2 linked regions of the Saccharomyces cerevisiae S288C genome follow. The gene in region 1 interacts genetically with each later gene. Each region holds a gene or a part of one and is shown in the gene's direction. Other genes may lie near its edges.

The links. A genetic interaction does not mean that the proteins touch.
Region 2: of SUC2 (region 1) and ATH1, extra expression of one rescues a mutant of the other (dosage rescue), as found in Saccharomyces cerevisiae (one study listed by BioGRID).

The regions. Positions count from the first base shown.
Region 1 is NC_001141.2:35,566-39,494, forward strand, and holds SUC2 (beta-fructofuranosidase SUC2), read left to right. Parts: upstream 1-1,819; coding exon 1,820-3,418; downstream 3,419-3,929. Other genes in the region: YIL163C (uncharacterized protein), read right to left, coding at 1,334-1,687; SMU2 (Smu2p), read left to right, coding at 3,868-3,929.
Region 2 is NC_001148.4:613,499-619,574, forward strand, and holds ATH1 (alpha,alpha-trehalase ATH1), read left to right. Parts: upstream 1-1,880; coding exon 1,881-5,516; downstream 5,517-6,076. Other genes in the region: TFIIH complex kinase subunit CCL1, read right to left, coding at 1-1,060.

The DNA.
Region 1 (3,929 bases):
TACTGATGGCTAATAATTGTTGGATCGATTCATTGTATCTCTTAAATGTCAACAGAGCATAAGTCAGACTCTTTGCCATTTTTAAAAAGCTGCGAAGGCGAACGTGACTACGGGGTGCGGGTTTTTGTATTGCTAATGTAGCATGACAGCTTATCCAATGTTTTGTTGTGTTCATTCAAACTATTTTGAGCCTCACTTCAATTTTGTTTGACTACTAACATGGCAGCATGCGTCGTTTCTAGGTGCTAGCCAGGCTGTGAGAACGTAAAATTAGCCTATGTTCAACATTCTCTGCTTTTCAATGTCACTGTTCATTTTGTTACTATGAAAGTAGTTCGTCGCAATTTGTACTTTTCTTCGAAAGTCTTCTTTTGCAGTAGATGAAGTGTGTTCTGAGAAATTGATGCTTTCAAATGGCCTTAAAAAATTTTTGTATCATAGCTAACAACATACTGTTGCGCCAGGGGAAGTGAAATCATGGTTGTATATTACAATAGCATTATGTGCATTTACCAAGTATGGAAAAGCGGAAAGTGTGAAAGAAGTTTATGAAAAAAGCGGAAAATAAAAAAAAAAAGTTTATTTTCCTGTGACTTCTGGGAAGCAGTTAGACCTCCTTCGCTGTATTCTTAGGTGCTATACCTCATTTCCACGATGGTAATAGACGATCAGTCTATTAATGCGCTAAAGAACGTAGAAAAGTTATTAACTGAAGAAGCTTTGCTAATGCCGTCGCACATTAAACGGCTAGACATTGCCTTGAATAGGAAGCCGAATAATCTACGAAATATCATGGAGCTTCAGGGCCTTGCATATACTATAGTAAAAAAAAAACTAAGTTTTCCCCTGTAGTAAACAGGGAGATACCGTACGGAGGTCTGAATTCCCTACAGAAGTAGCTGTAAAAATTCAGAATTCGCAACAACCTATAATTGAGTTAAGTGCCTTTCCAAGCTAAAAAGTTTGAGGTTATAGGGGCTTAGCATCCACACGTCACAATCTCGGGTATCGAGTATAGTATGTAGAATTACGGCAGGAGGTTTCCCAATGAACAAAGGACAGGGGCACGGTGAGCTGTCGAAGGTATCCATTTTATCATGTTTCGTTTGTACAAGCACGACATACTAAGACATTTACCGTATGGGAGTTGTTGTCCTAGCGTAGTTCTCGCTCCCCCAGCAAAGCTCAAAAAAGTACGTCATTTAGAATAGTTTGTGAGCAAATTACCAGTCGGTATGCTACGTTAGAAAGGCCCACAGTATTCTTCTACCAAAGGCGTGCCTTTGTTGAACTCGATCCATTATGAGGGCTTCCATTATTCCCCGCATTTTTATTACTCTGAACAGGAATAAAAAGAAAAAACCCAGTTTAGGAAATTATCCGGGGGCGAAGAAATACGCGTAGCGTTAATCGACCCCACGTCCAGGGTTTTTCCATGGAGGTTTCTGGAAAAACTGACGAGGAATGTGATTATAAATCCCTTTATGTGATGTCTAAGACTTTTAAGGTACGCCCGATGTTTGCCTATTACCATCATAGAGACGTTTCTTTTCGAGGAATGCTTAAACGACTTTGTTTGACAAAAATGTTGCCTAAGGGCTCTATAGTAAACCATTTGGAAGAAAGATTTGACGACTTTTTTTTTTTGGATTTCGATCCTATAATCCTTCCTCCTGAAAAGAAACATATAAATAGATATGTATTATTCTTCAAAACATTCTCTTGTTCTTGTGCTTTTTTTTTACCATATATCTTACTTTTTTTTTTCTCTCAGAGAAACAAGCAAAACAAAAAGCTTTTCTTTTCACTAACGTATATGATGCTTTTGCAAGCTTTCCTTTTCCTTTTGGCTGGTTTTGCAGCCAAAATATCTGCATCAATGACAAACGAAACTAGCGATAGACCTTTGGTCCACTTCACACCCAACAAGGGCTGGATGAATGACCCAAATGGGTTGTGGTACGATGAAAAAGATGCCAAATGGCATCTGTACTTTCAATACAACCCAAATGACACCGTATGGGGTACGCCATTGTTTTGGGGCCATGCTACTTCCGATGATTTGACTAATTGGGAAGATCAACCCATTGCTATCGCTCCCAAGCGTAACGATTCAGGTGCTTTCTCTGGCTCCATGGTGGTTGATTACAACAACACGAGTGGGTTTTTCAATGATACTATTGATCCAAGACAAAGATGCGTTGCGATTTGGACTTATAACACTCCTGAAAGTGAAGAGCAATACATTAGCTATTCTCTTGATGGTGGTTACACTTTTACTGAATACCAAAAGAACCCTGTTTTAGCTGCCAACTCCACTCAATTCAGAGATCCAAAGGTGTTCTGGTATGAACCTTCTCAAAAATGGATTATGACGGCTGCCAAATCACAAGACTACAAAATTGAAATTTACTCCTCTGATGACTTGAAGTCCTGGAAGCTAGAATCTGCATTTGCCAATGAAGGTTTCTTAGGCTACCAATACGAATGTCCAGGTTTGATTGAAGTCCCAACTGAGCAAGATCCTTCCAAATCTTATTGGGTCATGTTTATTTCTATCAACCCAGGTGCACCTGCTGGCGGTTCCTTCAACCAATATTTTGTTGGATCCTTCAATGGTACTCATTTTGAAGCGTTTGACAATCAATCTAGAGTGGTAGATTTTGGTAAGGACTACTATGCCTTGCAAACTTTCTTCAACACTGACCCAACCTACGGTTCAGCATTAGGTATTGCCTGGGCTTCAAACTGGGAGTACAGTGCCTTTGTCCCAACTAACCCATGGAGATCATCCATGTCTTTGGTCCGCAAGTTTTCTTTGAACACTGAATATCAAGCTAATCCAGAGACTGAATTGATCAATTTGAAAGCCGAACCAATATTGAACATTAGTAATGCTGGTCCCTGGTCTCGTTTTGCTACTAACACAACTCTAACTAAGGCCAATTCTTACAATGTCGATTTGAGCAACTCGACTGGTACCCTAGAGTTTGAGTTGGTTTACGCTGTTAACACCACACAAACCATATCCAAATCCGTCTTTGCCGACTTATCACTTTGGTTCAAGGGTTTAGAAGATCCTGAAGAATATTTGAGAATGGGTTTTGAAGTCAGTGCTTCTTCCTTCTTTTTGGACCGTGGTAACTCTAAGGTCAAGTTTGTCAAGGAGAACCCATATTTCACAAACAGAATGTCTGTCAACAACCAACCATTCAAGTCTGAGAACGACCTAAGTTACTATAAAGTGTACGGCCTACTGGATCAAAACATCTTGGAATTGTACTTCAACGATGGAGATGTGGTTTCTACAAATACCTACTTCATGACCACCGGTAACGCTCTAGGATCTGTGAACATGACCACTGGTGTCGATAATTTGTTCTACATTGACAAGTTCCAAGTAAGGGAAGTAAAATAGAGGTTATAAAACTTATTGTCTTTTTTATTTTTTTCAAAAGCCATTCTAAAGGGCTTTAGCTAACGAGTGACGAATGTAAAACTTTATGATTTCAAAGAATACCTCCAAACCATTGAAAATGTATTTTTATTTTTATTTTCTCCCGACCCCAGTTACCTGGAATTTGTTCTTTATGTACTTTATATAAGTATAATTCTCTTAAAAATTTTTACTACTTTGCAATAGACATCATTTTTTCACGTAATAAACCCACAATCGTAATGTAGTTGCCTTACACTACTAGGATGGACCTTTTTGCCTTTATCTGTTTTGTTACTGACACAATGAAACCGGGTAAAGTATTAGTTATGTGAAAATTTAAAAGCATTAAGTAGAAGTATACCATATTGTAAAAAAAAAAAGCGTTGTCTTCTACGTAAAAGTGTTCTCAAAAAGAAGTAGTGAGGGAAATGGATACCAAGCTATCTGTAACAGGAGCTAAAAAATCTCAGGGAAAAGCTTCTGGTTTGGG
Region 2 (6,076 bases), on another chromosome or scaffold:
CCTCTTCAGTACTCGGAGGTTTACAATCTTCAATAATACTTTTACACTCGCGTATTATGGTTAGTAACTTCGCGGAGTCTATCGAATATTCTTCGCTCTCTGTGGACTTCTCTTTGTTTTTCTCAGTTGTACTGGCATCATTTTGTGGTTCTTCTTTTTCGTTTCCCGGTACTGATTCCTGGCTACCTTCTCTGCTGGGAAATTTTGTTTCTAAATACCTTGTGACCAAGGCTTCATCCTCAATCAATAATGTTGCTAGTGTTATTTGGGGTGGAGTGTAGAAATATACGACATCGGTTAATAATGCGGCAGTTATTCTCTTCTTACACCTATCGTATATTTGGCCCATGTAATTTAAATCAACCTTACCATAAAGGACGTTCTGGATATCTAAGAAAAACCCATGAAGCGGTTTGTAAGGATGATGGTTCAACAGTGAAAATTTCAATGATTCTAACAACTTAAACTCGAATTTGAGAACACTATCTCTAGTAGATTTGGCCTTTTGAGCAAACGAGTCCACGCTAATAAAATAGTTCTCCGATTTGCAGGCTAGAAAGATAGTAGTATGTACAATACTTTTAGGATCTATTTGCATAACAGAATTTTCTAAGAAAAAACGCCTAAAAAAGGATATCGCAGTGGCCACTACTTCGGTTGGCAAATTTAGATGCTGTGCTATTACCTGAACTTTTTTTGCGTAGAAATTCACCAAATCGAGTTCTTCTTCCATTGTCAAAGGGATAGCCTTTGCTTCTAGTACTTTTATTTCTTCTTCTGTTAAATTGTGTGCTTCTCTAAATTTTAATAAATTTTCCTCAATGTAAGCAATCGCTCGGGCATTGGTATCTACCCTTTTCTCCTGAAGTTGATCTTTAGTGTATGACCACATTCTATACTGAGAAGAGTGCCTATATAAATCATCGTCAGAAATTCTTTTGTAGTTCGGTGGCTTGTTATTCTCATCAGCCGATTTTAATTTTGCCTCTTTTTCTTTTGCTGACATGGTAGCAGAAGGAGTATCTAATGTACTCTTTCCATTTAGTTGAATATCCGTCATTCTATCAATATCTGTGCAGCACAGTATTTTCCTCTCTTAAACTTAATATTCACTCATTTGTTTGAGATCTTTCTTAATATAAAAACTGTGTTAAGATCAAATTTATTACCCGGATTGTGAACGGCTTAAACAACGAAGGGATACCGCAGGAAATGAGAGGCCCTTTCTTCTCTGGATGGCAAACAGTTCGTGCTATCAAAGTCTGTACCAAGGTTATTTCACTCTTCAAGCCAGCAATAACTACTTTCTTTCAGGTCACCTCTCAGCCGTCACGTCTCTAGCTGAAGCTTTGTTATTCTCGCTTCACTAAAAACAAGTGTATCTACAATATTTACCAGTCTATTCGTATATCCCTTATCATTCTTTTTCAATAAGGGCAAATACTTCGGAAAAAGAAAGGAACATTCATCTTGATTCTAGCCGTAAAGCTATCACGTTCACTCTAAGCAAGCGGAAAGTTGAGCAAAATCAACGAACAATCTGAGTCAGCAAGGCAGTACAAGCATCTCTTCTTTGCCCCTCAAAATTTATTTCCTTTTTGGTATAGTCTTACTTCCAAGTCCAAGCAAGCACTACGTATCACGACAAACCAACAGCCGCGCCGTTTTTATATTCGGAAAGAGAATTCTTGTCGTTATTGAATAATAATAACAAAATTTCTCCACTTTTCACCATATTACCACTCCCTTTTTTTCAAGTAAAAAAAAAAAAAAAAAGAATCTTATTGCTCCTTAAAAAAGGATTCATCAGTCCTTTATGAGAGCCTGCTAGTATCACCTAATATTGCATCTGTTTTTACCGAAATTTCCTCATTCCAATAATGAAAAGAATAAGATCGCTTTGGTTCAATGCGGAGGCTTCTTATTCAAACCTTAACAATTCTCCTAGTTTGAGGAACAAAAATAGTACCGGTAATAACTCTCGCTCTAAAAATTATCGTTCTTTCTCAAGGTTTGACTTGATCAACTCTATACTTTTACTGATGATGCTATTTTTATTAGCTATCTTCGTCACTGCATTATATTTAACAAAGAGTTCCAGGCTTACATACTCACATGCCTCGAGGGCTGCCCTATTTAACCCTCTGGGTGTGATATCGCCGTCATTGGGAAATCATACGTTGAACTACGATCCAGAAGCAAGGGAATCTTCTAAAAAACTTTATGAACTCCTTTCTGATTTCAACACGGCATATTATGATGATGAGAACATGATTTTGGGAAGTAACTTGTTCTCAAAGAATACATACTCGAGACAACCATATGTTGCTAACGGTTATATAGGTAGTCGTATTCCCAATATTGGGTTCGGCTATGCCTTAGACACCCTGAATTTTTACACAGACGCACCAGGCGCTTTGAATAACGGTTGGCCCTTAAGAAATCATAGATTTGCCGGTGCGTTTGTATCGGACTTTTATTGTCTACAACCAAAACTAAATTCAACAAACTTCCCAGAATTGGATGATGTAGGATATTCCACTGTCATTTCATCTATTCCACAATGGACCAATCTACAGTTCTCATTAGTGAATGATTCTAAGTGGTTCAATCCACAAAATGTTACGTTGGATGACGTAACTAATTATAGCCAAAACTTATCAATGAAGGATGGTATCGTAACTACGGAGTTAGATTGGCTAAACAGTCAAATACATGTTAAAAGTGAAATCTGGGCACATCGGCACATTCATCCACTGGGAGTGGTTTCTTTGGAAATTTCCCTGAATACGGACCATTTACCTTCGGATTTTGATTCATTAGATGTTAATATATGGGATATACTTGATTTCAACACATCACATAGGACTGTTCTACATAGCACGGGAACAGACGAAAAAAATAATGCGGTTTTCATGATTGTTCAGCCAGATAACGTTCCATCTTCTAATTGCGCTATTTACTCAACGTGTACTGTAAAGTATGAAAATTCCACCAATCCAATAAATTCTAGTGAATCTTTTGAAGAAAAAGATGTTTCTTCTAATATTTATAATGTTATTTTGACAGAGGACCAACCCAAGATAATCGTTCATAAGTATGTTGGTATTATGTCTACTGAGTTCAATAAGAACAAAGAACAACAAGACAATACTAATATTGGTTTGGCCAAAATGATAGCTCTAAACAGTAAAGGCAATTACGAGAAGCTTCTGTCAAGTCACAAACGTGCGTGGTATGACCTTTACAACGACGCCTTCATTGAAATTCCTTCTGACAGTCTTTTAGAAATGACAGCAAGATCGTCCCTATTCCATTTACTAGCAAATACAAGAGATTACAATGTCTCGAGCGATAGGGGTCTTCCCGTGGGAGTTTCTGGTTTGTCATCAGATTCCTATGGTGGTATGGTGTTCTGGGACGCAGATATATGGATGGAACCTGCCCTATTGCCTTTCTTCCCAAATGTGGCTCAAAATATGAATAATTACAGAAATGCTACACATTCGCAGGCAAAGTTAAATGCAGAGAAATATGGATACCCCGGAGCAATATACCCCTGGACATCTGGTAAGTACGCTAATTGTACTTCTACGGGACCTTGTGTCGATTACGAATACCATATTAACGTTGATGTCGCTATGGCCTCCTTTTCCATATACTTGAATGGACACGAAGGGATTGATGACGAGTATCTGAGATATACTACATGGCCAATTATCAAAAACGCAGCCCAATTTTTTACTGCTTATGTTAAGTACAATTCTTCCCTAGGATTGTATGAAACATATAATTTGACAGATCCCGACGAGTTTGCTAATCACATCAATAACGGGGCTTTCACGAATGCTGGCATTAAAACACTTCTAAAGTGGGCAACAGACATTGGCAATCATCTCGGCGAGGTCGTTGACCCCAAATGGAGTGAAATTTCCAAAGATATTTATATCCCTAGATCCTCATCTAACATCACTTTGGAATATTCTGGTATGAATAGCTCAGTGGAGATTAAACAGGCGGATGTGACTTTAATGGTTTACCCACTTGGATATATCAATGATGAATCCATATTGAACAATGCAATTAAAGATCTTTATTATTATTCAGAAAGACAGTCTGCGTCTGGGCCTGCAATGACATATCCGGTTTTTGTGGCCGCAGCTGCTGGTCTGCTGAATCACGGCTCTTCTTCTCAAAGTTACTTATATAAATCGGTTCTTCCATACTTACGGGCTCCTTTCGCTCAATTTAGTGAGCAATCAGACGACAACTTTTTAACAAACGGATTAACCCAGCCAGCATTCCCCTTTTTAACAGCTAACGGTGGATTTCTACAGAGCATTCTGTTTGGGTTAACAGGAATCCGATATTCTTATGAGGTTGATCCAGATACTAAAAAAATTAACCGTTTGTTAAGGTTCAATCCAATAGAACTACCGTTGCTCCCTGGTGGTATCGCTATTAGAAACTTCAAATATATGAACCAAGTTTTAGATATAATAATTGACGACCACAATGGTACGATTGTTCATAAATCAGGAGATGTTCCTATTCATATAAAGATACCAAACAGATCTCTAATACATGACCAGGATATCAACTTCTATAATGGTTCCGAAAACGAAAGAAAACCAAATCTAGAGCGTAGAGACGTCGACCGTGTTGGTGATCCAATGAGGATGGATAGGTATGGTACCTATTATCTTTTAAAACCGAAACAAGAGCTTACAGTCCAACTGTTCAAGCCTGGCTTAAACGCAAGAAACAACATAGCGGAAAATAAGCAAATAACAAACTTGACGGCCGGCGTTCCTGGTGACGTTGCATTCTCTGCTCTAGATGGGAATAATTACACGCATTGGCAACCCTTAGACAAAATTCACCGTGCGAAGCTATTGATTGATTTAGGTGAATACAACGAGAAAGAGATTACCAAGGGAATGATTCTTTGGGGGCAGAGGCCCGCAAAAAACATTTCCATATCTATTTTGCCTCATTCTGAAAAAGTCGAAAATTTATTTGCGAACGTGACAGAAATTATGCAAAATTCGGGAAATGATCAACTTCTTAATGAAACCATTGGTCAGCTTTTAGATAATGCCGGAATTCCTGTCGAGAACGTTATTGATTTTGATGGCATAGAACAAGAGGATGATGAATCTTTGGATGATGTGCAAGCCTTATTGCACTGGAAGAAGGAAGACTTAGCCAAGCTAATTGAACAAATACCCAGACTTAACTTTCTAAAAAGAAAATTTGTGAAAATTCTGGATAACGTGCCAGTGAGCCCAAGTGAGCCATACTACGAAGCAAGTCGCAACCAGTCGTTAATCGAGATATTACCCAGTAATAGAACGACTTTCACTATTGATTATGATAAATTGCAGGTGGGTGATAAAGGGAACACAGATTGGAGGAAAACAAGATACATAGTTGTGGCAGTACAAGGAGTGTATGATGATTATGATGATGATAACAAAGGAGCTACAATCAAGGAAATTGTTCTCAATGATTAAATGAAATGATGCATATAAGTAGCGCTTTTTTTAATATTATAAGTTTGGATAAAAGTTACCAATTTTTTCGTAGGATATATATTTTAAAGGCACTATATTGAAAATATCATGCATGCTTATATAAAAGCTTTTTTTTTTCTATAGGGTGACATTTAGGAGCAATAATTTTTACTACAAGCTTTTTTTGCACCTTATATAGTAGTGACCTTGAAATTGGTCTTTTGCACCAGCGTACTTTAATTCCACTAAGTACTGTTTAGCAGCCTGTTTTCCAGAGCCCACAACAGTTTTCTATAAAATTTTCACATGCATTATATAGACATGATCTACCTACCAATTTGATCTTCCTGCCATTGAGATCAGTTCTTTCATTACATTGATTGCACATTTTTAATTGGCGCCTTTTCTAATTTTTTGTATGAGTCCATATTAAAAAAATAGACTTCAAATTCCTACTAGACGATTCTGATTCCATCGGGATTACCACCAGATTTGATATTGGCTCTTCTCTCGTCAGTAGGGTTTGAACAGAAATATTCCTAAATTTCTCGCAACTTAAA